4 linked regions of the Pelodiscus sinensis genome follow. The main gene of each other region encodes a partner of the protein of the gene in region 2 in a complex. Links are inferred from orthologs where the notes say so. Each region holds a gene or a part of one and is shown on either strand. Other genes may lie near its edges.

What was found.
Region 1: MYBL1 (region 2) and LIN54 share a complex: the UniProt entries of both Homo sapiens proteins name them as parts of the DREAM complex. The link is inferred for Pelodiscus sinensis from reciprocal best matches to the Homo sapiens genes MYBL1 and LIN54.
Region 3: MYBL1 (region 2) and LIN52 share a complex: the UniProt entries of both Homo sapiens proteins name them as parts of the DREAM complex. The link is inferred for Pelodiscus sinensis from reciprocal best matches to the Homo sapiens genes MYBL1 and LIN52.
Region 4: MYBL1 (region 2) and LIN9 share a complex: the UniProt entries of both Homo sapiens proteins name them as parts of the DREAM complex. The link is inferred for Pelodiscus sinensis from reciprocal best matches to the Homo sapiens genes MYBL1 and LIN9.

What each region holds. Positions count from the first base shown.
Region 1 is NC_134715.1:11,686,388-11,694,277, reverse strand, and holds the start of LIN54 (protein lin-54 homolog), read left to right. Parts: upstream 1-4,882; 5' UTR 4,883-5,015; intron 5,016-7,890. Other genes in the region: COPS4 (COP9 signalosome complex subunit 4), read right to left, coding at 983-1,062, 2,026-2,099. UniProt on the Homo sapiens protein: Component of the DREAM complex, a multiprotein complex that can both act as a transcription activator or repressor depending on the context. In G0 phase, the complex binds to more than 800 promoters and is required for repression of E2F target genes.
Region 2 is NC_134712.1:58,192,402-58,199,833, reverse strand, and holds the start of MYBL1 (myb-related protein A), read right to left. Parts: upstream 3,009-7,432; 5' UTR 2,600-3,008; coding exon 2,580-2,599; intron 1-2,579. UniProt on the Homo sapiens protein: Transcription factor that specifically recognizes the sequence 5'-YAAC[GT]G-3'.
Region 3 is NC_134714.1:44,998,793-45,005,676, forward strand, and holds the start of LIN52 (protein lin-52 homolog), read right to left. Parts: upstream 3,008-6,884; 5' UTR 2,897-3,007; coding exon 2,878-2,896; intron 2,439-2,877; coding exon 2,364-2,438; intron 1-2,363. Other genes in the region: ALDH6A1 (methylmalonate-semialdehyde/malonate-semialdehyde dehydrogenase [acylating], mitochondrial), read left to right, coding at 3,260-3,313, 4,102-4,158.
Region 4 is NC_134713.1:157,381,671-157,388,631, forward strand, and holds the start of LIN9 (protein lin-9 homolog), read right to left. Parts: upstream 3,014-6,961; 5' UTR 2,760-3,013; coding exon 2,681-2,759; intron 1-2,680. UniProt on the Homo sapiens protein: Acts as a tumor suppressor. Inhibits DNA synthesis. Its ability to inhibit oncogenic transformation is mediated through its association with RB1. Plays a role in the expression of genes required for the G1/S transition.

The sequences.
Region 1 (7,890 bases), on a different chromosome or scaffold from region 2:
CAGGCATTCGGATGGCACTTTTGTACTCAGCATTGCAAGGTTGATGGAAATTCTATTGACTACTCAATTAGCTGGTAATCAAAATTTAACATCGCTATATAGGACTCAACCCAAGGTTTAAAGAATCTGAAGCACCTTCTAAAATCTGACAGGTATGAGGTAAGGAGCATTCTTTCAGAAGTCTTAAAAGAGTAACACTGATATGGAAACTACAGAACCTGAACCACCAAAAAAGAAAATCCATCCTTTTGCTGGTGGTGAAAATGATGATGAAAATGAACATATGTCGGTCTGCTCTGGTTTGGAATGTTATCGAGCAGAACTCATCATCAACATGAACACATGTCCTCTGGAATGGTGGTTGAAGCATGAAGGGACAGAAGAAACTTTGCAGTGTAATTCAACAGTGCATGTGAACAATTGTTCTCATTTTTCAGGTAACACTGTCTGAGCAACTGGCTGAACAGCAGGACTGAATGGACTTGTAAAACACTAAAGCCTACATTGTTTTATTTCTGAATGCAGTTTTTTATATCTAATTCTACTTTTGTAAATTCAACTTTTATGATAAAGAGAATGCTCTATACTACTTATATTAGGTGAATTGAAAAATATTATTTCTTTTAATTTTAGGGTGCAATATTTGTAATAAAATATAAAGAGAGTACTGTTCACTTTGTATTCTATATTATAATTGAAATAAATATATTTGTAGATGTAGAAAATATCTAAAATATTTAAATAAATGATAGACTATTATTGTTTAGCAACAAAATTATTGGCAATTAATTTGTTTAATTGCTTGGTTACTCTAATTTTAACATACTGATGATTGGTGCTCCAAGCAGATGCAGATGCAAGATTGAATATGGACAGCACATCAAAAATTCACATAGCCTGAACTATATTTATCTGCATGTGTAATCCAACATGCATCAAGTCTTCAGTCAACAATGCATAAACACAACAAATACATACTTACTTGCTTCTACAAAAGCTTTCAAGGCTTCTAGTTGTTCCACTCCTGACAGTTGAATTGCTTTTTCCAGTATCTGACGATATCTGCCCATAGATTTAAAATTAAAAAATGTATCACAATTAATATCCTTTTATTTAAATATCCCCCGTGGCATTTGCATTTACATGGCTGCAGCTTTTTTCCGGCTCTGGGTTTTTGCCGGAGAAAAGCGCCAGTGTAGACGCTTGAAAGTAGGAATAAGGGATCTTCCGGAAAAGGGCTTATTTTCCGGAGAATCGCGTCTACAGTGGCGCTTTTCTCCGGCAAAAACCCCGAGCCGGAAAAAAGCGGCAGCCATGTAAATGCAAATGCCGCGGGGGATATTTAAATCCCCCGGGGATATTTAAATCCCCCGTGGATTTGCAATTCCCAAGTGTCTCATTAGCATCCCTTTTCTGGAAAGGGGTGCCAATGTAGACACAGCCTATATGTTTGGTGGTGTTTTTTAGGGCTTTTCCCAAGAGACCCTGCTGCATAATACCAACGGCGCAGAAAATACGTGATTTTTTAAAAGGAATTTAAAGCTCGGACGCCTCTCTCCGTACAATTGCTCTGGCTCTAGAAAAAGACACAATGGGCATCAGATGGGTTCTTTTGTCTTTCAAGCCCAAGGCTCTGGGAACACCGACTGTTCTGAAACGGACAGTTCAGCACCAGCCTGCAGCATCTACAGCCCCTTGGTTAAATTAAATGGAGAGGGGGGGGGGGTCTGGTTAATCCCCCCGCCCCGAGGCAGCGGGGGAGGGGGGGGGCGGGGTAGGTAGGTGCAGTCGACAGCATTGACCAATAATAAGCGCAGGTTTTTCCGTTAATCCGTTTTATCCGTTAATCGTCTGCCATTCACGAAGTGACAAGACAGACCCGGGCGCCTCCGCCCTGCCAGGCACAGGGGCCGCGGCTCGCGGAGGAAGCAGGACCCTGCAACCCCCGACTAGTCCTCAAGCACCCGCCAACCGCCTTCACCTCAGCCGGGAGCGCCCCCTCCCCCCAGCCCGGCCCGCACTCACTTCCCCGCCAGGTCCTTGTGGGAGCCGCTGGAATTCATGAGCTGGGCCAGCTCCTGCCTCACCGCGGCCGCCATCTTGTCTCGCGCAAACTGACAGACGCGGTCCTCCCCCTGCCAACGAGAGGGAAGCCGCCGCCGCCGCGTCCCCGCTGTATCATAGAGGAGCGTCGGCTAGAAAGGCTCCTGCCCCTGAGAAAAGGGTCACGTGACGCCTTCCCAGCCCGGAGTCCTTCCCTCCTCGCGAGCGCTGCTGGCCAGTTGCTGCCTCCCTGGGATGCGGAAGGGCTGATCCGCCAGCGGGTTGACGTACTGACCCGGCCCCACACGAAAGCAGACTCTGTACCTGGGAGGGGACCCTCAGTCCCTTCCTCCCTCTAAGGCCAGGAGAGGCGCTCTGAGCTATTTCTCCGGAAGGTGTCATTCCCAGTATTGCCCGCCTGGCTGGTGCAGATGGCAGGTCTGGAAATGCAGGATCTCATGCCCCAGTGAGAGGGATGGATGATAAGTTCTTTCCTTCCCATGCGGTCTCTCGGGTCAGAGAAGGAAGCAGGGCCAGAGCCTGATGAGTGGAATATTTTGTAGCTCTGTTTCTTTCCGAACTGTGTTGCTTGTCGGCTGTGTTTCAGTGGTGTACACAGCATGGCTGTCGTACATACGTTATCAGAAGATTTCAGACATTACAGTATTTATTTTCCTTTTCTAATCTGTGTATAGCGTTTTATCTAAAAGTAGATGAATAATTATACTGTTCCTATTTTACCAGTGTATAACTGAGGTCCGGATATGTAAACTAAAATTTTCAAATATAGCACCTACATACAAGAGTGCTGCTTTTCATAAGTGGAGAGGTGGACTCAGCTCATATTTCAAAAGGAGTGTTCTATTTACTTAAATGTCAGGCAGCTATCTTCAGGATTGTGCTTCAGCTGGAACCATGGAAAGAGACTGAGATCAATTTTTTTTTTTATTTTTTTGTACACTGACATTTGAGTTGCAAACACTGCAGATAAATGTTTTAATGGAGAGAAAACCAATAATTAAGAGGTGAGGAAAATTCCCTTGGTTTGTTCATACCCTACAAATAAGTGGAGGATACCTATGGTACAGAAGCTAAACAGAATGAATACATTTCCCTTGCAAGAGGGTGTATGCTCAAGGTAAAAGCAATGCCATATGTTGCACTTCCATATCACCTTTCATGAAAGGTTTGCCCAGTGCTTAGGAAGCTGTCACTTGTTAGCCCATTTTATAGATGTAACAAGACTGGAACCACTCACTGCCTGTTTTTCAGTGTCTTGACTTAAGGGCTACGTCTAGACTGGCATGATTTTCCAGAAATGCTTTTAACGGAAAAGTTTTCCGTTAAAAGCATTTTCGGAACAGAGCGTCTAGATTGCCACGGACACTTTTCTGCAAAAGCACTTTTTGCGGAAAAGCATCCGTGCCAATCCAGACGCGCTTTTCCGCAAAAAAGCCCCGATCGCCATTTTCGCGATCGGGGCTTTTTTGCCGAAAACAAATCTGAGCCGTCTACACCAGCCCTTTTGCACAAAAGATTTGCGCAAAAGGACTTTTGCCCGAAAGGGAGCAGCATAGTATTTCGACAAAAACACTGACAATCTTACATGAGATCAGTGGTTTTGCGGAAATTCAAGTGGCCAGTGTAGACAGCTGGCAAGTTTTTCCAGAAAAGCGGCTGATTTTCCGGAAAAACTGGCCAGTCTAGACACAGCCAAGCAGCTTCAGAGGGATAGCTGAGTTAGTCTGTAACAGGAAAAAATTTAAAAACAATAAATAGTCTAGTAGCATCTTAAAGACTAACAAAACATGTAGATGGTATCATGAGCTTCCTGTGACAAAACCCACTTCTTCAGATATATTCCAGTCATATGAAGAAGTGGGTTTTGCCCATGAAAGCTCATATCACCCTCTATTGGTGCGTCTAGACTGGCAAGATTTTGCATAAAAGCATCCACTTTTGCACAAAAACTTGCCAGCTGTCTACACGCTGCTTGAATTTGCGCAAGAGCACTGACTTTGTAATGTACAAAATCAGTGCTTCTCGCGCAAATACTTTCATGCTCCTGCTCAGGAAAAAGCCCTGCGCAAGAATACTTGCTCAAGAGGGCCAGTGCAGACAGGGAATAATTGTTTTACGCAAAAAAGCCCCAGTAGCTAAAATGGCGATCGGGGCTTTCTTGTGCAAAATCACGTCTAGACTGGCCACAGATGCTTTTGCGCAATAACACTTTTTGCGCAAAAGCATCCGTGCCAATCTAGATGCGCTTTTGCTGAAATACTTTTAACAGAAAAACTTTTCCTTTAAAAGTATTTCTGCAAAATCATGCCAGTCTAGATGCAACCTACATGTTTTGTTAGTCTTTAAGGTGCTTCTAGTTTTAAGTTTTGACTTAAACAGTTTCTATCTATGGGGCAGTATAGCAGAGTGCACGCATCCAGTGCCCAGAAGGGTGCTACAAGTAGAGGAGGCTGGAATGCTTACCCAATGCATCACTATCGCCAGGCCTCTCTCAGCTGTTCCCCAACCATTTCAGATCAGTGGGAGACGCAGGCTGCACACGCAGCACCATACACACGCACACCCGGGCTCCTCCTTAAGGCTCCACCTACCCCTGCTTCTCCTCTCACCTTGCGCACTTGCCAGCCCTTGCGTGCCTGTGCAGCGGCACGTGACATGGTCACGAGCCAACGGGATGCGATGACGCACCCGGAAACGGCTGGAAGGAAGCGCCGGCCCCAAAGGGCGGGAGAGGGAGGAGCTGCGCTCGCTTGGTGACGCTATGTCGGTTGCCAAGGCGGCGCTGCGCATTATTATGGGATGTGGCGGTGGAATGGCGCTGGGCGCGTGATTTTGAACAAACACGGAACCTGTCCCTGGTGCTGCCGCTGCTGAGAGCGGCGCGCGAGCCCAGGGGGAGGAGGAGGGGGCAGCCGCGGCGCGAGCCCGGGGGAGGGGGGAGCGCGAGCCCGGTGAGTGTGAGCGCGGGGGGCCCAGCGGGGTGGGGGGAAGGGAGGGAGCAGGAAGGGGTGTCAGGGGGGAGCCCAGCGCGTCGCCGTGCAGCCCCCCCCCATCCCTGGGGGCCACCCGCTCCCTGGCTGCGGGGACAGGCCGGGGAGGGGGACCCCGGCTGCAGCGCCAGGAGTCGGTCCCCGCTGCCGCCGCCTGGGCGCAGCTCCCGGGGCGGGCGGCGCAGGCCCGGCCAGCCCACGGCGCAGCCCTGCGCGGCCGCTCCTGGCGCTGCGCCCCTCGGGCACCGGGGATCCGGCCGGTGCAGCCCCGGCCTGAGCTGTCTGCGCGGCTGCCTTGGCAATGCAGGCGCCGGGGCCGTGCCCCGCCAGCGGGTGGGCCTTTGTGGCTTGTGCCCCGGTGTGTGGGTGTATTGACTGTTTGTCCCTTTGTCACTGCCAGTCCATAGTAGCCAGGGAAACAGCCGACCCTGCGCGTGAAAAATAAAATCATTGGTTATGTGTGACTGTTCTGACGAATGGGTTGGCATTTTAAAGTCATTTGTGTAATATATTGAATAGTAAGGAGGAGCTTTCTTTATGTGGCTTTAACCCTAGAAAATGTTAAGGAATTCAAGATCTCAAGAGCTGAGACTCACTGCGACATGCTCTTTTTCAGCAAAGATCAAAAGGAGAGAAAAGCAGGGCTTACAGTTTGGGCCCTCATTCTAGCAATCTCTTGGGGGAAAAAAATCAAAATAAACGTGCCTAGTATTTTCGCTTCCCCTGCCTGCCTCATTATATAAATAAGGATGTTTAGATATAGGGCAGTATATAGAGTGTGATGAATCATTACAAAAGTTCATCTTGATGTGCATCTCTGCAGTACAAAATGGCATGCCACATGTCGAAATTGTCAGCTTTATTATGGTAGTGTTTTGCAAAATTGAGAATAGTAGAACTAATATCAATGCTATATTGGAAGATGAATCTAGTGTTTTTTTGTTTTTTTTAAAGATACAGCTACAATTAGGTCAAATTTATAACTGAAAATCACATAGGTAAATGCAGTGGGCTCATGTGTGACTTGTATACCTGATGAATCCTCCCACATATCTAAAGAAGAGAGGAGGTTCTCTGACTCTGTTGAAGTTCTGAGGATATTTCTTTTCCTTTGTAAGCTGCCTCTTTGTTTGGTGTTTGGGGGGAGAAGGGTGTCCCATTTTTGAGGTATGACAGCTTCTAAGTCAGGGATGGGGAACCTCAGATCCACAGCTTGCCCGAATCCAACCCCAAGGCTCAGACCCCCCCTTGCATGAGGGATCTTGTGCTGGCGCTCTAGCTCCAGCTCCCTGCCCCATGGTGGGGCAGCACACAAAATATATTAGGCTGGGCCCCCCAGGCGTGGAGAATGTGTGGAGTGTCTTTCTCTTAGTCTGAGGGTTTTTTGTGTGTGGCCCTCAACTGATTTTTTCTGTGGGTCAGTGGCCCTCAACCCAAAAAAGGTTCCCTACCCCTGTCCTAAGTATTGAGAGCATTTTTGTTTTGTGTGAGTTGTAACTTTTTTTAAGGAGTTCAGGGCCAAATGTTTGACTTTTGGCCGTCTCCCCTCCATGTCCCCAAAAAGAAAATACAGGCCAACTGAAATCAGATGCAACAGTACCAGTGTCACCTCATTTGCACTGTCTCATTGGGATGTAAAAGTTTTAACTGGTTAAACTTAGCCTTACCAGCATGCTTACCTGGTAACCAGTTAAACCATGGTGGGTCCAGCTGGCTGGAGCAGCCCTGTGGTACAGTAGGCCAGCAGGCAAGAAGCCAGGCTAGAGATGCCAGCAGCTCTGCACAATTCCCCCACCCCCTCCATGACTGACAATTTAACCAATTAAAATTACATAATGTAGCACTGGTTAACTTTTTAATTGGGTATTTACATCCCTAATGTCTAAGTGATCACCATTTGTTGGTTGGGAAGGAATTTTCCTCTGAGTCAGATTTCCAGTGACCTTACGGTTTTTTACTTTGTGCTTGCAATATGAGGTGCAGGCCATTTCTCCCAATTATCAGAGTATATCTCATTTAATCAGTTCCCTGCCATTGCAGTTGCCTTAAACATTGGTGCCACACCTCAAGTCCCTATTATTCTGAGACCTTTTACAAAGTTAAGTCAAAATACAGCAACCTTGATATTTACTGTGGTGAATCATGTCTATGGTTCTGTTGGTGGTCAGCTGAAACCCCCATCCCTAGGACTGAGCGCCACCAGGCAATGTAAATAATGCAGTGTCTACACAGGACTGTTGCCCTGAATGCATCAATGCAAGCTCTATGCCTCCTGGAGTAATGGGTGACATGCATCGTCAGGAGCAACGTTGGAGTGTAGACACTTACAAAGTGAGATCTATGTAAGCTGCTTTATGCTGACTAACTCTGTAGTTCAGACCAACCTTCTAGTTTCCTATAGGCTGTAATATTTTGGTCTAATTTAGTTTGCTTGGTTTTGTGTGTGGGTGTCCTGTGATATACAGGAGGTCAGACAAAGTGATCTGGTAGTTCCCTCTGGGCTTAAACTCTAACTTTGAAGGATCTTGTATGTTGATGACTAATTGTTTGAAGAATCTTTATGTGAGATCCTAGAATTCTTGGCTGGAGAGTAATTTATTTTTTTGTTTTTATTTTCATACTTTTGTGCTTTAACTAACAAATATTTTAATACAGCAAATATTTATGTTTTTCTTAAGATTGCTGTTTTCTGATACATTTTACAAAATGGCCATGTGACTGTTTTAGAAGTGTTGAATGGAAAAAACGTAGTGCAGTAGCCTAGTGTCAGAATGGTCAGTGTCTTGTTACTTCGATACAATCATCTAGAATTTCACTTTTGGGTTGGTATCTTATT
Region 2 (7,432 bases):
AGCTGAATCTGGAGCCAGTTCCTACTTACATACAAATTCAACTTAAGAACAAACCTATAGTCCCTATCTTGTACGTAACCCAGGGACTGCCTGTATATACCAACACTTTCTTTTTGTTCTGCTGTAACCAGAATGTACCAAATGAGCTCATCGTCTATGCACACCTATTTTAATAATCTAGCAAGAAATGTGAATTCTTCACAGCTCAATATTCATTGACAGCAATATTGGCACTTCCAGAAAGACTAGTAAGTCTTCCTTAGCTCCTGACTCCAGAAAGACAAGGTAATATGAGGTCATAACTTTTAATGGACCAACTTGTATTGGTTAAAGAGAGATGCTCCAGATGGCATTCTGGGTGCAATATGTAGCTGGAATGTCTCATGTTACCTACATTAAGGTAGCTGATCCTCTCTAGTTTCCAAACAACGAGTAGTCACTAAGGTGCCACAGGCCTAACAAACATATACAATACATAAATAAAATAAATACACACACACACACACACACATTATACACACACATATTTGTTAACTTTTGTTACACACTAGAAATGTTAAATTTAGATTAATTGGCCCAGGGCTACACTTCAAAGGCGAAAGAGCTGCAAGGAGCACAGGGGACTAAAGCAGTCCCCTGCTGGCCTCAGGCCACCTGCAGCATTTCAAAGTGGCAGCATCACATGGAGGCCGGGGTCAGCTGGGGACTCAGAGTGTCCAGCTGTCCCCAGGGTCCATGCAGCACTGCTGCTCTTAAACGCTGTATGCAGAGCAGGACCAGGTGGGAACTCAAGCTGTACATGGTATTTCAAAGCGGCAGACCCCAGGCTCCATGCAGTGCTGCTACCTTGAAACACTGTATGCAGCCGGGCCAGCAGGGGACTCCCCAGCAGCATGCGGCGTTTTAACGGCACTGCCACTTCGAAGTACTCCTCCCCCACACTGCCTCTTTCTGAGAGGCAGCAAGGGAGGGGAAGTGACCAGTCAACTAGTCCAGTGTTTCTCAACCTTTTTTTTTTTTTTAAGTATCTTTAAAAAAAATAATTATAAGTATCCCCAATACCTATAGTTTTCAGACTTACACATTTTTTTCCCCATTGCGACACATTTGTTTAAACAGCTTAGTTGTAGCCGGGCAGGCGATGAAATTTTTGGCTGTAAAAAGCACAAAAATAATAAAGTGCTGTAAAACTTAAAACAAAAATTCAGTTTTCTCCAAATTTCAGTTGTGTTGACATACTCCCCAAACTTGTCTCAAGTACCCCTAAGGGTACTCATACCTCTAGTTGAGAAACACTGGACTAGTGTATCAACTATCCAATAAGCTTTTGCTTATCGGATAATAGACTAGTCATTCACATCCCTATTTACATACATATATAATTGTGAGCTTTCTTGGGCAAAACCCAGTTCTCCAAATGAGATTTTCTTGTTCCCCTTGAAACAACTGAACAATTACAAGGAAAACATATTACTTTCCTTCCTGTGGTTTTCCCACAAGAACTATGAATTTATAGTATATTTGTAATAAACCTGATCTCCTCTGGAAGAAAAATACAGAAGAAATTCTGATGTACCAACCACAAAACTACAATTTCTTCACTCCCATGAACAATATGCATACACAGCAGTCTCCAAATAATAGAGATGGTCAAAACCTAATAGCTTTCATAACTAATATTGACCATTTACCCTGCTCTTCCTTTATCAATCTCATAAACCCCTTTCTACAAAAATCCACAACTAGAAAGACAGAAGACAGTAGTAACTAAATTACTAAGTGTAGTTTCCTAAAAATCCAGATTTTTAGTATAAATGAGACACACAAGCTCCTGCAAAATAGAAGATAAATCTGCAACAGCTCAATGTTTGCAGCTGAATAAGCACTTTCACTCACAGATTTCCCAGCTACAGGAAAGAATCACATATACCTTCCCCCCCCCCCCCCCATCAATGGATGTACCAGGACTAAAAACACAGTCTTTAAAAAAATAAGAATTAGTGAAGTCAAAGTATTAAAACCACGTGGTTGGTCAGAGAGGTAAAGGACCAGAAAGTTAGAAGAAAGGGAAAACTGGCAAGAACTACTGTGTAGGAAGAAACTAGTAGCCCAGGGGAAAGAGAAGACGAGGTTACTCTTATGTCTGTAGTACGGAGCGACATGGAAAAGACATGGGTGCAGCAACTCCGGTGAGATGCAACACACAGGGAAGATGGAGAAGTCGGGGAACACCGGTGTTGCGACAGGTGGGTGACAGGACTTAGGGGGGATGATGGGGCCGGGATCTAGCTCTGGGCATGCAGCGTTGGGGAGGGACTGGACAATGACAGTGGAGCACGAGGAAGGGCGGCCGGACAGGAGGAGAGCCTGAGCCTCTGGCGTGGAGAGAAAGACGAAGCGGGATGTGGGGGTGTAGCACAGCTGAGAGCGAAGCCGGGGGAGGGTCCCAAAGAGGGAAAGGGGACAGAGACCCTGCAGGCGAAGGGAACAGCGCTGCGATCGGAGCAGGGATCCGGGACGAAGGCGCGGAGATACCCGAGCCAGGACAGGCGGGCCGGCCGGCCGGGGGCGTTACTCACCTGCGCGGTCTCTTCGCCATCCTCGAGGCGCAGCATAGAAGGAGGCGGAGACGGACTGGGGACGGCGCTGCGCGGCTCCCTGCCCGGGCTCCTCACACTGCCCCGGGGAGTCTGTGGCGGCCGTGGGGCCCGCCCCGTCACACAGCAGAAAAGGGGGCGGCTGCCTCTACCGCTCCCGGACACTCCAGCGCGTCCACCTCACTTAGCCCCGGCCTGGCCCGGCGCCCCGCACACAGATCATGGCCCGGCCCGGCTGCGGAGACAGGATCGGGGGCTGCGGACGCTTCTTGCCCAGTTCCGAGGCCCCTGTTCCCAGCTGCGTCCCCCGTTGGCCCGGCCTCCTCTGCCGCTGCGCTGCCGTCACAGGTTTTGTCCGTGCCGCCGAATCTCGCGCCCAGCCTCCTTCCAGAGCCACCGTTTGAATCTGCGCACGCGGACTGCAACCCCATTGGCTGAGGCAGCCGCACGCGATCGAGGCGGGGCACCGCGCCAGAGGGAGAAAGGGTGCGACCAGTAGGGATGAAGGGGGCGGGGCATAGAGCCAGACGGGGGCGGACCCGGAGCAGTAGGGATGAAGGGGGCAGGACATAGCGCGCTGCATCCTGGGAGAGCGAGTTTTTCTTCCCGCCAAGCCTGACGGTGTTCAACAGTGGCAGCTTGTAAGAAGCCCCACGGGCTCTGCTACGTGCTGCTGCCGCTCTTGCTTCCCAGCCCAAGGCCTTATTCTCCCCCTTCAATGTGCCTGTGCGAGGCGTCCTGAGTGAGCAGATCACTTGGAATCCGGACTCACCTATTACTGACTAAGGACAAAATGCAGGCGAACAGCCCACAGTCTGCAGGGGGAGGGAAACACATCTCGCCTAGTGCAAATGTTACCGATACAGAGATTTCTCACATTCGGCATAGAGTATAATTACAAAATCATGTCTCCTTCGAGCCGGAATCGAACCAGCGACCTAAGGATTCCCGCAGCTCCTCTACAGTCCTCCGCTCTACCAGCTGAGCTATCGAAGGGACTTCCTGGATGTTCTTGTTTCCTTTCTACATAGTCTCCTTTTCATGACTCATCCAATGTACTTTGACTTAATTTGTAATTAAAGAGCTGTCAGTATGGAATAGCAAAAAATATAGTGAGAGCAGCTTTTGTACCAAAACAAATGGAGAGAGAAATGGAGCTTTGGAGAGGCCAAATGTTCACTATTAATGCAATACAGTCCTAGGCAGACTTAAAAAAAAAAAATTTCTATAAAAACAAGTATTTGCCTTCCTCCCATGTATCTCTCTATAAAAAAGATTTTCCTGAGGGATGACAGAGTCATGTCATCATGTCACTCTGCATCCTGCAGCCCTTTCCTTCCTCTTTCCCTTTATCTCCCTAGTGTTCTGTGGCCAGGGGGAAGAGCCCTGGGCACATGTGGCCTTTCCCCCTCACACAGGGGACTGGAGCCAGAGCCACACAGCCTTCCCCCCTCGTGGGGGGAAAGCGAAGCAGCCTTCCCCCTTGTAGCAGGAGGGGGCCAGAGCCACGTGGACTTCCCCTGTCACCGTGGAGACCCAGAGCTGCCACCTGTGTATCTTTCCCCCCTGGTGGGATGGGACTGGGAGCCACATGCCCTCTCCCCTCACGGGAGGATGCCAGTTAGCCAGCTATGGCCTCAACCTAGCCCAGTCCCTCAGCAACTGGAGGGAGAAAGCCACGCCAACCACTGCCAGTGGCAGCCAGAGAGAGAGAGCCAGGCCAGCCTTGGCCCGGCCTAACCCTCGGGCGGCTGGAGTGAGAGAACTGGGCCAGCCTCAGCCCAGCCCCCCGACAGCCAGAGGAAGAGACTCAGACCAGTTGCAGCCTCAGCCTGATCCGGGTTCCCTGTGGCCGAAGGGAGAAAGCCAGGCTAGGTGCAGCTTAGGCCTGGCCCAGCCCCATGGCAGCCAGGGGTGGGGGAAAGCTAGAGCTGCCAACCCTCAGAGAGGGGAGTTGGCAAGCATAGCAAGCAGGGGGCACTGCCCCTTAGTATTTGCCTAACATTACAATACAGTCTGATATGATGTATAATCTGAGACTTGGTCTACATCACAAATGTATATTGGTATAACTATGCCCACCTAGATGAGTGACACATTAGTACTAACTTGGCCCCTGCTATAGGCAAAAATAGTTTATGGGAGGGCTTCTCCCATTAACATGGCTCTTTGGGAATTAGAGTACCTACAACAAGGGGCAATGCTCTGTTATCAGTGTAGATAGCTTCACTAACCACTACAGCAGCACAGATGCAATTGCAGCACAGTGAGTATAGACAAGCCTAAGGAATAACTTTCTCCCTTACTCCCCAGAAAAATGATTAGGAGTAAGGAAAAGAGGAAGATAAGCTTCCTCAATTATAAGGTTTTTTGTTTTGGGGAAGGGAGGTTAATTATGAAAGTCAAACTGATATTATCTTTTGCCTTTTATTCAAATCAAACACCAATAATAGGTGTTCAACCTAGTCTAAAAATAAGCAACTTTTCTACCACATTTCCTCCCCCCTTACAACCTAAGCAAAATCTACTATATATTTAAGAGAGCTTGTGTGGGAGTGCCTGTCCATGCATTCATGTTTGTTCAAGAACTCCTCCTGAACGGTAAAAGCTAGGACTACCAAATTTGATATGCAACCTTCTCTTATTCTAATTTAAAGAAAGGTCAGTGTTTGGTTATGCTAGGAATAATGGGAAGTGCCTGGAATCCGATTGTTTCTCATCAAATGGAAAGAGAGGGCTCTGATAACAGGGTCAGTTATACGTCACAATGACCACAGGGAGCAAAAAGTGCCCCAGTCCTGGGGAGCAGATGCCAGCAGAGCAGCACAGCAGCCTTGGGCTGGCCCCAGGGAGCAGCCATCAGCCAGCCAGTGCAACTCTCACCACTACAGGCCAGTGCCAGCATGGTCTTTGCCACTCCAGACCAGCCCCAGGGAGCAGCCACTGACTGCCGGTATCCACTACCCTGAGTCACCCACTCCCTGCCCTGACTCCTGCACCCTCCACCCTCAGCTTTCAACCCCCATACCTTCCAATCCCCTGCCCTGACTCCTACATCCCCACACCATGCCCTGCGCCCCCAATACCTCCTAAAACCCCTGCCTTGACTCCTGTATCTGCCACTTTTCTGTCCTGACCCCATCGCTCCTTGCCCTGAACCTCTCCCCCCCCCACACACACACCTCCCAATCCCTTGTCCTGACTCCTGCACTCCCCATTCCCTGCCCTGAGCCACTCCTCACCCCCAGTCCTGACTCCTACACCACCCACACACCTCCAGCACCCTGCCCTGAAGTACCTGAACAATGCCGGGTAAAAAGCTAGTAGTCTATAAAAACCTGAAGAGGAAATGACTAGACATTAAAAACAAACCAGAGGGTATGTCTAGACTACAGGGTTTTGTCGACAGAAGTTTTGTCGACAGTATCTGTGGACAAAACTTCTGTCGACAAAGAGCGTCTAGACACATTCAGTTCTGTCGACAAAGCAAGCTGCTTTGTCGACAAAACCCTGTAGTCTAGACACAACCCTACATGCAATAACACCTTCTGTCAACAGAACTCTGTCGACAGAAGGTGTTATGCCTCATAAAATGAGGTTTACCAGTGTCGACAAAACTGCTGAGTTCTGTCGACGTTATGTCGACAGAACTCAGCAGTAGTGTAGACGCAGGTATAGTTTTGTCGACAAAAGTCCACTTTTGTCGACAAAACTCTGTAGTCTAGACACACCCTAATTTATCATTATTGTCTACACTGAGAAAAGTGAAAGTACAGTAAAATCTCAGAGTTACGAACAATCTCCATTTGTGAGGTGTTAGTAACTCTGAAATATTTAAAAGCTTCAGAGAGGTAGCCAAGTTAGTCTGTACAGGATAAACTTAAAAAACAACAAATAGGTTTTTTTAGCACTTTATAGACTAACAAAACATGTAGATGGTATCATGAGTTTTCGTGAGCTCAGCCCACTTCTTCAGATGACCAGAGTGGTTTAGTGTACTATATTTGCTTTGTTTATTTTTTGTCCATGCTGCTGCCTGATTGTTTACTTCCAGTTCTAAATTAGGTGTGTGTTGGCTGGTCAGTTTGTAACTCTGGTGTTCATAACTATGAGGTTCTACTGTAGTAGAAAGTATATAAAGGATCAAATTCTAAAGATTGTTTCACTTAATAAACAGATTCACTTCTATCACATAGATAAGGATTTTACAAATATTTTAGATGATGATGTCTCTAAACACTTTATCCTGTAGAACCGTGGTTCTAACTGTGGCCCACTGACCACTAGTGGTCCGTGGCCACCTTGCAGGTGATCTGCATCTCAAGCTCAGCCCCTCCTTCCTCCCTCCCTCTCTTTCCCCACAGCAGGGAGCCCGCGCTGGCTTCCTGCCAGAGAGGGAGGAAGAAAGCCCCAAACCACTCAGAAGGAAGGGTCCACCTCACAGGGAAGAAGCGGTGCCAGAAGCAGCTCTGTGTGCTGCTGTTCCCCCTCCCCCACCTGAGAACAGCAATTCACAGACACGCTGCCTTGATGCTTTCCCCACTACTCCCATTGTCCGGAATCCAGCCAGTGGGAGCAGCGAAAGGCCATGCCTGAGACACTGTGCCTGGGACAGACATGGGACATGAAAGCAAGTAAGTGCCTCCGCTTTTCCCTCATGGCCAGACCCTGCACTCCCACCCCCTCTCACACACCTCCACCAAGATGTCACATCCCCAGCCCACTCCTGCATCCTCCCCTTTTGGCCAGACACCCTCTGCTCTTGCACCTTCCCCCTTGGCTGGACACCCTACACCCAGCCCTTCACTTTTTGTTACAGTGGAAACAGCAGTAAG
Region 3 (6,884 bases), on a different chromosome or scaffold from region 2:
GGTGGGATGAGCCGGGGAGATTGGGGGGCCAGTGGAAGCAGGGCTGCCAGGAGGCATGAGGTTGGGGGTAGGGAGCTGGCCGGGGAAGATGGGGGTGGGAGGGAGAAGCGGCCGCCGGAAGCAGGGCTGGACGCAGGCAGCGGGGCTGGCCAAGGGAGATTGGGAAGAGAACTGGCTGTCCAGGAGGGGGTTGGGGGAAGTGGGGCTGGCCAGAGGCGGGGGGAGAGAGTGAATCGGCCGGCAGGGAGCGGGACTGACTTGGCCATATGCAGGTCTCGGGGCGCTGCTCCCCTTCTCCCCACCCCCACAAAGCACGAGTGAGTCTGGCCCGGGGATTCTATTGTGCCCCCCCACAACACACACCCTCGAGTAGTTGCGAACTGTCTGGCTGGTAGACACACTCATGCAGCCTGAGCACATTTACCAGCTAGGCAGTTCGAAACTACAAACTGATACATCTAATAATAATAAAACTTACCTAATGAGAAAAGACGAGACATGTTATATGTCTGGTATTTTCTCAGTTTGTTTTTTATGGGTTTATATTTTTGGGCTGCAAAAAACAGTACTAAAAAAAAGGGTTCGAACTAAAGTAAAAAGATTGGGAAACCCTGGCATAGATACACAGATCATGGGCAATTTGCCTGAATGCAATCCTGTCAGACGCCCTAACCCACAGCTCTTGAGCCGCATGCAGCTCTTTGCTTAAAGAAATGCGGCTCTTGCTAGTTCTGAGCTGTGCGCCTGGACTGCTCGCAGCCAGCTGCTCTGTGCATGCGTCCCAGTGTCTGGAGGGAGAAGCGTGTGGCGACAGCGGCTCTGGGACCCAGGCATTGGGTTAGAGTGGGGGGTGCCTGGCTCTGGGGGAGGGAAGGGGATTGGGTTAGAGCAGGGGAGAGCTGGGGGTGCCTGGCTCTGGGAGAAAGCATTGGGTTAAAGCAGGGAGGGCTGACGGTGCCTGGCTTATCTTCATGGATGCAGAATAAAGGCAGCCAACACAGATGTCATATTTAAATTCCAGGGCAAAAAAGAATCAGCATACACTTAGTTTACACTGTGTTCCTTAAAAGAAAATTCAAAGGCTATTGTTCGCCAGGTTGAACCAATTATTCTGAGATATGTGTCTCTGCCTTATTGTTTTTGAACCTCTCATATTTGCAGTCTGGGACAGACCTGAATTTTTAGAAGTAAAAAAACTGAGGAAACCATACCAGAGGTCAGAAGTTGGAGTGAAACAGACACTTCAAATTGTGCTAATTTATTTCTCAGTTCAGTTTAATTAAAAAAAAAATCACAGGACATACTAGGGCAGTAATGTTAAATTTAAAATACATGGTAGGGATGCTTTTCTTTTAGTGTGAGAATATTGCTGTGTTTTTAAAAAAAAAATTTTTTTAATTTGATGTTTGCTCCTTGTCAAGTTCTCAGAAGATCTATGGACTGGAGATTAATTTTTTAAAGTGACTAGTGACTTTTTTATTGATTTTTGTCTGAAGTGTCCTGTAATGTTATTTTTAATCACTATATTTTGTGTACTATAGCTATCTATCTATCTAGATATATAAAAATAAATATCCACAGATATTTTGGCTCTTTGTCCCTAACTGGTTGGCCACTCCTGCCCTAAGCAGATAGTTTGATAGCCATGCTGATATTTTTTCATATGCTACATTGATCAGAATTATTGTACAAATGCCAATCAAACTGGGAATTAAGCTTCCTAGCTGCAGTAGAGTTAGATAAAATCTCCAGTCACATGTACTATAGGAAATGTTGCCTCACTACATTAAATATTAGTCACTAACTCATCTACTGCAGTTTCTTGAATACTGCAGGAGTAACAAAAATTCAGAATGCTCTTTGGAAGATTTTCCCTGCTTATTTGCCATGGAAGTGTCCATTGCAGATCAGCTTAGTTTATTAGTCAGTAGTTTACACAGAGGTACTGGAAGAGTTCCTATCAAGCCTCACTTCTTATATTTTCACCACCTAGCCAAGGAGTGCAGATCACCGTAGTTTAAATGCATAGGTGAAGGGAACAAAACCTGAGAAGCACCCGCATCAGAATGTTATGGAGAACATCCTAATCTACTAGGGCTCAAACTGGATACCATCTCCAGTAACATTTACATGGGCAATCAGATGAAACTTACAGTTGCCAACTGCCACTCCCCACACCATCAAACCATAACTCCATGGTACACACACCCATCCCAGGTTGCGGGGGCCTGGAGGTCGCAGTGCACTCCAGTGACCCAGGGGTCTTTCCCCTTCTCACCAGGGCACTGGATACTCTCGTTTCCTTTCACATGAAGGACCAATCCACCTCATCAAGCCCTGGAGGAGAATCAGGGTTGACTTACGCTGCTCCGGCCACAGGTCTGGGGATGCTCGGTCCAGCTTCTCAAAGCTCAGCAAGGAGGCTTCCAGATCTGTCCCTGGAAGGAGTCAGTCAGTGAGTCAGTCAGACAGACAAACACCGCTCCCGCCCCGAAGCCGGACATGTCACACGCAGGCTCAGCGACACCCCAGACGCCATGGCCACGGGCTGTGGCTAGAGGGTGCCCTCGCAAGGCTCAACCGCGGCGCCTCACACAGGCGACAAGCAGCTCCAGTCCGGGGACGTGCCCCGACGACAGGGCTGCCCGGTGCCCGTTCTCCAGCGCCGGGCGGGGCCGCCTGGTCGGGCCGGTCTCCAGACCCTTCCCCCCGGCTCCGAGTCGCCGGCGGGGAGGGGGCTGGCGCAGGGTAACGACACATCACGCTCAAGACGCGACCCAGGAACCGGGCGGGCTGGGCCGATACCCAGAAGCCGCCGCAGCTCAGCTCCGCGCGCAAGGCAGATCCGGTCCAAGTCCTGGTGCTTCCACTTCTTACCTTCCGTGGGAGCCGCCATCTTGCCCAAGTCACGTGACGGGCAACCGCCGCCCGCGGGAATTCGTACACGTGACTCCCTCTAGCACCGCCCACACACGCGGCGCTTGCGTTCCTCCCCTAGGAGGCGTGTCCAACCCTGACTTTCCATCCATGGCCGCCTTCAATTCCCGTAGCCAATCACCGCCCTGGAATGGTGGGCGGTTCCCCTAGGGGCGGGGTTAGGCGATTGCGGCTCTCTATTGGCCGAGTCGAGCGCCACAGCCCCTCCTGGGTAGAGCGGAGACTAGGGCGTTGTCTAAGCGGCCAATGGCAGTGCGGGGGCGGGACCTGAGGGCCCGTGAGGGTCTGTCCTGCGGGGGCCGGGGGACTCTCTGCAGGCGGGATGGTGGCGCTGGCAGGTCGCGGGGCCCAGGCTGGGCAGCGGCTCCTGTGCAGGGTGAGGCCGGGCGCCCGCTGTACGGCGGGGGTGTCGAGCAGCCCCCGGCCCGGGGCGAGGTGCGGGAGCCCTGCTGTAGCTCCAGCGGCTGGGCTCACGCCTCCCCTGTGCCGGACAGTCCCCCGGGCTATCGGCCTTGTGGCCGCCGGACGAGTGTTTCTCGCGGTTCCTCTGGGCTCCGCCTGGCTGCCAGCAAGACCCGAGGCCGCCGCTCCAGCGGGCAGGCGGGCCGAGGTGCTGGGATAGGTTTTCTCCGGGGGTGACAGCAGGGGTTGGCAGCGAGGTTCCCGGGCATGACTGGGGAGAGCTGGGCGGGGTCTCAGCTGGGATCTGCACGCGTCTGGCCTCACTGTTCCGTGCCACTGACGGCTGCCCCGAGGCGAGCTGTCGGACGGTGCTTGGAAGGCTGCACCCTTGAAACGGTTTAGGTTAAAACCGATAAACTAGGAGGAATTTTCCAGCGCTTTCAAATACGATCTGGCAAGGCTCACCTGAACCCAGTTCGTGCTTTGGGTCCTTGCCATTGATTCCGTTAGCACGTGTTCAGTCCCCTAGCCTGATATGGGGTATGATTGAGACCCCCTTCCCACAGCATCTTACCGTGCAACCAGTGGTATTTGTGGCTGCCCCTTTGCTCCCTCAGGCTATAGTTGACTCATGGACGTTGGGGATCAGATCCCAGGCTCTCTCCACAACCATAGCGTCTGCACGGGTTTAACCTCTGCAGGATTTGCCTCCTGTGTGTCTAACAGCATTGATCTCTGTGTGTCTGCCTTTCTTTCATGTAGATCCTAGGAAAAGTCAGTCCCACCTGGTATTCATCCTTTTCCTCCTCTTACTCAGTGGTGAGTTCATTCTTGTTCCTGTTGACAAGCTTTACCAAAGGGGAGACATGGGAAGTTCAAAGGGCCCTGGATGCAGGGGAGGAGGAGGAGGAGATGCAGATGGTGACTATCTTATTAGCCAGCTATGCACACTTGTATGGCAGGAGCTGCACCCCCGTACTATCACTTGCATAACTTAGCATGCCCAGTACCTGTCTAATCTGGTGTTAAACTAAATCAGACTTTGCAGTTGCATTGCCAAAGGAGGGGGTTGGTATTTGGAAGAAAATGTATTTGCTGAATTAGCTTTAGATAACTTAGCCCAGTTAGTAAGAGCAGGGCATGAAACAATTTCATGTTAGGCCTCTAGATAGGGCTGGCTAAAGTTCTGGGAAGTCTATAACTGCTACTGGGGCAGGTGGATTGTTGGACTCCTTTCCTCATGCAATGAAACACTTCCTTCACATCTTTTTAAAAAGTCACTTCCAGGGCTTAAATTCTCAGAGACTATTTCACAGAGCTGACCACCATTTAGGACACAGCTGCCAAATGAAGCACGTCTCAGGGAGAGGAGAGGGTGTTCTCAGGGCTTCTATAGGTTTGAAAATATTTACCGGAGCTCTGTTCTGGGTGGCTCCAGGTGAATCTGGGGTTCAGTGAAGGGAGGGAGGAGAGTCCTAAAGCCTTTCTAAATAAGGATGTAAGTGAGTAGTGAAGTCAGGTATTTGACTACTCACTCTCCCTTCCATGTCACTGCCTCTGTATTGGTGGCAGCAAGGAGGGGTGGGCAGGAGCCGGTGCTGGTGGGAGCCACCTTAAAAGCCAGTTCCCTCCAGCACTGTCTCTGTGGTGCCATGCTCTAGAAATCTCTGTCTTGTACTGCACAGCCCTTTCCTGGACAATACGAGCTTGGATAATAATAGAAATAAGTACACTTGCTGTCCCAAGTGGAGTTTCCCAAACACTTCAAATACACTGGATCAAAGGGAATGATTTTTGTATGCTTTTAAGCGTGAAGCATACGAGTCAGAATTTAATACAAGAAAAATAAAATAAAAACGTTACAGGCAACGACTGCCTAACTTTGCCATTATGGCAGCAGTTCGCAAACTGTCATTCAGAACCACAGAATGGGCTATGATCAAGTTTTAATTGGGTCTGCAAAGGCTGGCATTGGATTTGCTGTGGACCAGGACCAAAGACTGATTTTGATGACTTTGACTTTGGCCCTGAGTGGTGGGGTTCAGGTTACAGGTCTGCTGAGGCCTTGGGCTTTAGCCTACCCACCCAGGGTGTTGGGGCTTGAGGTTTTCCCCACTTTCCTGACAGCCAGGGCAGCAGGTCTCAGGTGGGCTCAGGCTTTGGCCTCCTCTCCTGGGGCCATGCAGTAATATTTTATTGTTGGAAGAAGGTTACAATGCAATGAGGTTTTGGAACCCCTGAACTAAGGTAAATTCAAAGCAAAGCAGTAACGATGGGTGACAGGGGAAGGAGGAAGACACTGACCACGTGCTCCCTGCTTCCGCCCAAGGAAGGACCAGGACAACTCCCTTCTGCTCCAGGCCCTGTCTCTCCTTGCCCCTTTGTTTCAGCCCAGGGGACTGGTGGGGCCAGGGGTCTGTGCTGCACTCTTCCTACACATGGATTGGGTGGCTCCAGCTTGTGCAATGCTGTTCTATTCAATATTTTGTTTTCTTGTCATTATTCATTGTGGCCTATTTACTGCACAATATTCAGACCTTGTGTTGAAAATAGAATTATTTCTTTACTCAAAATTTTTATCTACATCTCCAAAAATAAGTTGCAGACATATGCATTCACATTTATAAATGTAGATACTTGCAGATATAAAGCAGAGCTCTATCTACATATAGGCTTATAGTTATATAGAGCTAAGTAGTCTTGAAAAAAAATCAGCTTTTAGGCATCTCAAATTAGGCAACCAAAATTAGTAAATGTTTTTGACCCAAGTCTCCTTGCCTCAGTTTCCCTATCTGTAAAATGGGGATAATAAAACTACTACCTCACCGGGGTTATGTGAAGATACAAAACATTAATGAGTTATTTAGAACCCTACACAACTGCAGACATCCACATGCGCAGATGTGGTTTTTTTTGTAGATGGAGATGCGGATACAAGTGTTGTATAGAGCCTTGCACAAATGCGTGTGAAAAGTTTGCTTTAAGTGACTTACCTAGTATCACTTAGGAACTCTGTGGCAGAGACAGCATTCATTTGTTTTAAGCATGAGTCAGTCCTTCTCTTCCTGCATTCCCCTACCCCACTCAGTACAAGTCGTCCAACTTCTGCCACAAATAAGGCAGGGGCCCTATGGACAGAAGTCCCCTTTCATACCTCGCCTGGATTCAACAGAATAGGTCCATTTTGTCCAGTGAATGAAGCAAGGAGTTTGTGAGATGAGGGGGAAAAATGTGAATATGTAATTGAAGACTGTAGCATAATGCTGATACACAAGGGGCTGGATTAAAGTTGCAGAGTTATTCTTAACTTTAATTCCCAATTTTTGATTGCTTAGCTTTGCAACTTAAATTTTCTTTTAATGTAGTTTTTTTGTGTGTAATTGCCTAGCTCTTAAAAAAGCAAACTGGGGGGCAGGGGGAATTCCATTGTGGCATCCAAGTGATACCCACATGGGTTATTAGTTGGGTTGATACTGTGGTGTTATATGCATATCCCATCACAGGAGTGAAGATATTCAGGGGTGTGGATGCCACCTGATTGGCTA
Region 4 (6,961 bases), on a different chromosome or scaffold from region 2:
ATACGCATATCAGATAGTCGATTAGTTGCTTACATCCCTAATGCCATCCTTACAAAGGTGAGCAGCAGCATTCAAATGCCTTGACCTTGTGATCCTCAGCTCAGAACTTTAATATTTCAGATACTGGAGTAATTACCAAATGGCAGAGGAGTGTGATTTATATTAGTTAGAAATAGGATAAGCAAAGTTGGAAAAGTCAATCAGGAAGGTATGTGGTGTAGCAGATAATGACTTAAGTTTGCCAAGTTGGAGGTGTGTGTTCCATTCCTGACTGCCTATAGTAACCTTCATAAGATGTATCTTTTCAGATAGGGGAACTAGACTTTGAACAGCATATTAAAGGTGAGATTATATATTTTTACAGTTGCCTAATATTTTTATATTGTTTTCTATCCCATGGGTTCTCAATCTGAAGGTCACGAACATCCATCTTTTCTTCTGGCTTAAAGGGAGGAGGGTCCCATACTTTTTCTGTTGTAACAAAAGACCCCAGTAAGGGAAAGACTGAAAATCATTGCTCTACCTTTGTAATCCAATCTAAGTTTTTGCTTATTTAGTTGAGCATCAAGCAGTTTATCAGGCTGTTCTAAATGAAACCATTTAGGTTTTTCCTTGTTATTGTTACAGTTCATTTAGAATCCATTAGTTCAAATGGTTATTTTGAATGTACATTCCTTGTACTTGTGACAATCAGCTAGCTTGTTGCCCAATGCTTCTTTGCCATTGCTATTCTCCCAGACTACGTCTACATTGGCAAGATTTTGCACAAATACTTTTAATGAAAGTTTTTCCGTTAAAGTATTTGCGCAAGAGAGCGTCTACATTGGCATGTGCTTTTGCGCAAGAGATGTGCTTTTGTGCAAAAGCATCCATGCCAGTGTAGACGCTCTCTTGCGCAAGAAAACTCCGATGGCCATTTTAGCAATTGGGCTTCCTTGTGCAAGAAATTCATGTTGCCTGTCTACACTGGCCTCTTGCGCAAGAACACTTGTGCAAGAGGGCTTATTCCTGAGTGGGAGCGTCATAGTTCTTGCACAAGAAGCACTGATTTCTTACATTAGAACATCAGTGTTCTTGCATAAGAACTCCTCGTCAGTGTAGACAGGCAGCATGTTTTTGTGCAGCAAAATCATGCCAATGTAGACACAGCCCAACTGCTTTCTGCTTCTGATATAAAGAATTTCTTGTTTATATATTTGATTTGCATTTCAAATTCTCACATAGCCCTCAGTTTAAATTTTATACTTCATGTGCTCTATCATATGCTCCTTTTTAATGGATAAACTTTGTAGAGACTTAATATGTTTTAGCTGGAATAAACTATTGTGTATTTTAAATTAGCCCTATCATTTTTTTCTGTGCCTTGCTGCGTTAGTGTTAATTTGTACATTTATGTATGGTATGCATGTCTATATAGCTTGCATTACTCCTACGAAAGAGTAATGCAATGAATGAATGAATCTATTTTTCTGTATCTGTAGTTTTGTTTGGCCACAGTATGTATCTGCAGCAGTGCTGTAACCACATTGGGCCCAGGATATAGAGAGACAGGATGGGAAGAGGAAGGTAATACCGTTCATTTTCATTGATTTGAAACACAAGATTTTGAGCTAACATGGCAGTCTTCTGCACAGTAACAGAGCTCTTCTTTCCAACACAAGTTAGTACAATAAAATATATTATCTAAGTGACATTACCTCCCATACACATGATCTACTCAGTCAGACTTGCTGGGTATCAACCTTCTTGTACGTTCATTTATGTGTCTGCATACAGTGCATGCTTGTGTCTTTGTATATAGACTGTGGGTCTTCATAGCACCTTTATTGTGTTTAGTTTGCATCTATCCCCTAGATCCAGTGTCTGTTCCCGAGTAGCATGTGTATCCTCATTCTTGGATGCCCCTGGATGCAATTTGCATGTCTCAATGACCTCCATTTCTCTGGTGCCTCTGTCAGACAGCATTTAGAGTATGTTTGTGTGTCCACCCCCGAAATTCCCTGGAGCATTTTAGTGTTCTCCACCCCCCAGCACAGTATGCATGTTATGTCCCACCCGTAAGCCTGCTCGGGGCGCAGGGCACTACCCTGTGTAACCCTCTCCCCCAGAGCATTAGTTCCTCCTCATGGACAGGGCACAGCACTAACCTGTACCTCTCCCCCCTGTATTAATGGCACGTCCTATGCAGGGCACTCCCTGTGCCCGCTTTCCCCTGCGCTGCAATGTTTGAGGGCCCACCCGCAGTGCAGCGCACCCCCATGCGCCGGGGCAGGATCGGTGCTCGCAGCTGTACGGCGCCTCCCTATCTCTGTTGACAGGCAGCGCCCTGGCCCGAGTGCGGGCCCGTCCCTGGCCCGGGTGCGGCCGTGGCCCCGGCCTGTCAGGCTGCGCCGAACTCGGGGTGCAAGTCCCCTCCCGGCGCCACCCGCCGTGGGGAACCCGCGGGTCTCCGGGCCCGGCTCCGGGGCGGCCCCTCCGCCTGCGCGGGGTAGGGGGTGGCGGGACGTGGGGGGGGGCGGCTCCAGAGGAAGAGGAGGAGACTCGGGTCCGGCCCCGCGCAGCGCCCGCCGCGGCCAGGCCGGACGCGGGGAAGGCAGCCCGGCGGGGGACGAGCTGGTCCCCGACGCTGCGGGGCGCCGCGGGCAGGGGGCGCCGGCCGGGGGCGCGGGGCGCTACTCACTCTCGTCGGGCAGCTGATCCAGCTCCGCCATCTTGAACGAGCCGCGCCGCTTTTTCAAAGGCTGCCTGGCGCGGTGCATTGTGGGGAGGGGTCTGGGCCGTGCGCGAGGCGGCGCTGGCGAACCCGGCTCGCGCTGCTGCCGCCGCCCGGGCTGCTCGAACGCTGCGAGGAGCGCTCGTGCTGCTGGCCGGGATGCAGCAGCGGCGGAGGCGGCGCGCGGGGACACAAAAGGGCTGGGAGGGGCTCGAGGAGCAGCGGAGACAGCTACGGCAGCCCCGGGGGGCTCCTGCTTCCCGGCAGCGAGCAGCGGTCTCAGCCTGAGCGCGCCACCGCAACTGCAGGGCTCCTCTCAGCCCGCGGTATTTGCATGCACCGTCCTTCTCCCTCGCTTCGCAATTTGCTGGGGTCTGTGCCTCACCCCCGCGCGCCGTTTGCTGTAGAGGGAGGCTACCTGGGAGCAGGAGCCGGTTTTCATACTGTTCCCGCAAAGGAGCCACTGTGCTGACCATCCTACTTGTGCTCTAGCTTTGTAAACAAGGAATTCTACCTCCTCTCCCAACTCCTCCCCCCCCCCCCAGCCTGGCCGCCTCCCCTTGGCTGAGGGAGCCGTTGCCGTGAGGCTGCCCACTGATGCAAAACACGCAATTGTTGGTGGTTTGCTCAATAATACCCTCAAGTGTCCTGCTCCGCGATGCAGCACTTCAGGCGCAACTGCATCGATTTCATAGAATACTGGAAAGGATCTGGCAAGGTCAAAAAGAAACATTTAATTGTCAGAAAGTGAGAGTAGCCATAAAGGAGCCCCTAAGGCAGTGGGTCTTAAACTTTTTGGCGATGGACCACCTGGCTTACTGCAAACCTTTTCATAGATCACCAGTTGCTAATGGAAACTCACTGTTAATTACATAATTACACCCAAGCCATTTTCGTAGTGCTGCAACTAGGGAGAACAGTTGTTTAAATTATTAAACAGATTAAGCATTTTAACTTTCTCATGTTAGTTTATCAAGCTTCATTTTACATAAAGTAACATTAATTTATGTCCAACACAAGAGGTTCCCATATTTTATTTATGGTAGCGGTGGGGAACCTTTTTTGGGTTAGGGGCCACTGACCCATAGAAAAATCAGTTAAGGGACCACACAGGAGAAGCAAAAAAACTCCAAAACCCCAACCCTCACTGATGTGACCCCCCAAATGAGACACCTCATTCTTCTGGACTCCAACCCCAAAGAGTGAAGGGGACAATGAGGACTAAGGTTTAGGATTTCCCATAGACCAGGTTTACTTTTCTGGGGTTCCAGAATTAGTGGATTTTGTGGACCCTCTTAGGCGCTGGGGTGGTGACAAAAATGAGGGCTGCCAGTGAGTGGGATAGGGATGCAGGATCTAGGCATGAGGAGGTGAGGAGGACAGGGTGCGGAAGGGAGTTCGGCAGCAGGAGAATGTGGGGGCTCGAGAGAGAGAGTTTGGAGATCGGTGGGGAAGTTATGCAGAAAAGGTGAGGGTGAGAATGCAGCCAACTAGCTGCTCAACAAAACCTTTGTGGCTGCTTAAGTGTGCTCCCATATACGGAAGGGAAATGAACACTGGTGTCTTTCTGGGTTATGATGGAGATTTGTGGTTCTTATGGCAATTATAAGACTCTGAAACTAAGTAAAAGAAGAACATTGATTCACTTTTATATGTAGATGCTGAAGTGGCTATTTATCTTAAAAATCCTAAGCCAACGAGTATTCAATATCATGGAGGGGAGAGATCTCCCTGGCTACGTCTAGACTGGCATTATTTTCCGCAAATGCTTTTCCGCAAATGCACTTTTTACGGAAAAGAGTCCGTGCCAATCTAGATGCGGTTTTGCGCAAGAAAGCCCCAATCGCCATTTTCGCGATCAGGACTTTTTTGCACAAAACAATACCGCGTTGTCTACACTGGCCCTCTTGCGCAAAAGCATTTGCACAAGAGGGCTTTTGCCCGAACGGGCGCAGCATAGTATTTCCACAAGAACACTGACAATCTTACATGAGATAGTCAGTGTTCTTGCGGAAATTCAAGCGGCCAGTGTAGACAGCTGGCAAGTTTTTCCACAAAAGCAGCTTGCCAGTCTAGACATGGCCCCTCAGTTTGACTTGTTTTCTGGCAATCCCAATGAAGTGTTGCCAGTAACTGAGGGGTTAAAACGGGCTGGAAAAGCAATGAGCCCCAGACAGACACAGCTCAGAGCCCTGGTGGAAATAACGAATGAAGGTCTGAGCTGCCAGCAGAAATATGCACTGGCATTAAAAGAAGATAGTCTGCTGGAGACCTGAAGGGGAGCAAATGTCCCAGATCTAATGCCAAGGGGTGCTATAAAATATTATTGAACAATGTACAGACCTGCCAGTTTTCCAGCAATGCCTGCAAATAGGCTGAAATTCTCATTCACACAGAATAAGGTGCAAAGATCATGCTGTGATGGAAGGGGAAGAGGGAGGCAAAGTGGAGAGCAAAGGAAAGTGCAGTTTCTGTAAAGGGAAATTATATCCCCCCCACGTCTTCCCTCTGCTCTAGCCTCACCCCCCTCAGCTCCTTGATCCCCACCCAGCCTGATCCCCTGCATCACCCCCCCCCCCCCGTGCAACCCCTGCCTCCTCTGAACCTTCCCCTACATCCTCCTTCACCCCATCCTGGCCCCACATCCCTGTGCCCCCAGCACACACAACAGCAGGGTAGCAGCACTGGGACTTGCAGCCCCCCAGGAGCAGCAGTGGGGCAAGGAGGGCTGGGGGAGGGGGGAACGGAGTCACTTCCCTGCCTGGCCCAGCCCTTTGTCCAGAGCTTGCCTCTCACCTGTAGGCTGCCACTCCAGGGGTGGGGTGGGGTGGGCAGAGCCTGGGGCTGGCTCCAGCCCAGCCAGGCAGAGCAGGGCACTGGAGGAGGGGTTCCCCACCCCCGCACACACCTCATGGGGAGCAGCTTGGTGCAGCCTAGGCTGGGCAGGGGCAGCCCCAGGGACACAGAGCTCAGCACAAGGTCATGTCGCCCACTCCACTTGCCAGGCTACTCTGACCCCTACGCCATGCAATGCCTGCACCTCCTTCATGCCCTTGCATTGTCCCAGTGGGAAGCCGGAGTTCATGCTTCAGCCTGCAGCTGCACAGTAACCACAAGATTTGAGCCACAATGTGGGCACCCTGCTGGGTGGGGATGGGGAGGCTGTGCTCAAGCCGCAGACTACCCGGGAGATGGCAGCAGACCCCTAACAGTCCACGGACTGCACTTTAAGAACCACTGCTCGCGGGACTACTATACACCTCTGCATTGACTCTGCATGCTGGTATTGATGTGTGTAAGTCTAGGACCTGGTCCCACCTTTTCTTGGGGGGTTCTGAAGAGCTTTAGCTATCCTTCTCACTTGCTCTTGAAACTGATGATAGTCATCTGGTGGGACGGGCAATGTTAAAGAAACAGCCACATCTAGGTACCCTAACGGGAAGTTCCTGAGGCCCCTTGGCACCACACTGGTGCATGCATTGTCTGATCCAGGTGCCAAGGGTAGACTGGATGAAGAATGAAGTGATAAAACAGTCTTCCCGTTCTAAGACCATTTCAAAGGCAATTAGTGAAGCTATAAGCTCTAATATGGCCAACTTGGTTGCTCTTGCTGCTGTAGTACAAGTACTAAAGAAACTGGAAAGCTCTGTAGTAATGTCTCCAAACTGGAAGTAGCGGATTACATCGTATCTGAATTCTCAGACTCAGCAGAACTGGGCGCTACACAGTGATGCTGACAGAGCTGTGGGAACAGAGTGCACTACCAGTAGATGGTAGATCTAATGCAGGAGATGGGGACCTCTGAGCAGGTGGTCACACAAGCTCACTTATTCCAAGGTAAACAGTTTGAGAGGTCTGGGAACACTTCCAAGTCTTCCAGGAGTCGGTGATACCCAGTCTATTGCCAGGACTGGAACCAGAAAAGTGTTAAAGCTCCAAACCAATGATTTATAGGATGCTGGTGAAGCTGAATCAGAAGGGTAACTTGGTTACATGAATGGTGTAACCTCTTGTTGCTCTTTTGAGCCTTGGAATATGCTCTTCGTCCATGGCTGGAACACATGGTTTCTTGGATTTGGAGGAAGACTTACTGCCCTGTTTATGCACAGTGCTTCCATGGCTCATGGATGGGCCCCAGTGTGGGGTCAGTAGAGCTGGACAGAGACTCTGTGGTAAGGGGAGAGGTCTCCAGTCAGGATTCTATTGTGACATGGCACAATGGCAACCCCCATGAGGTGTTTGTTGAGG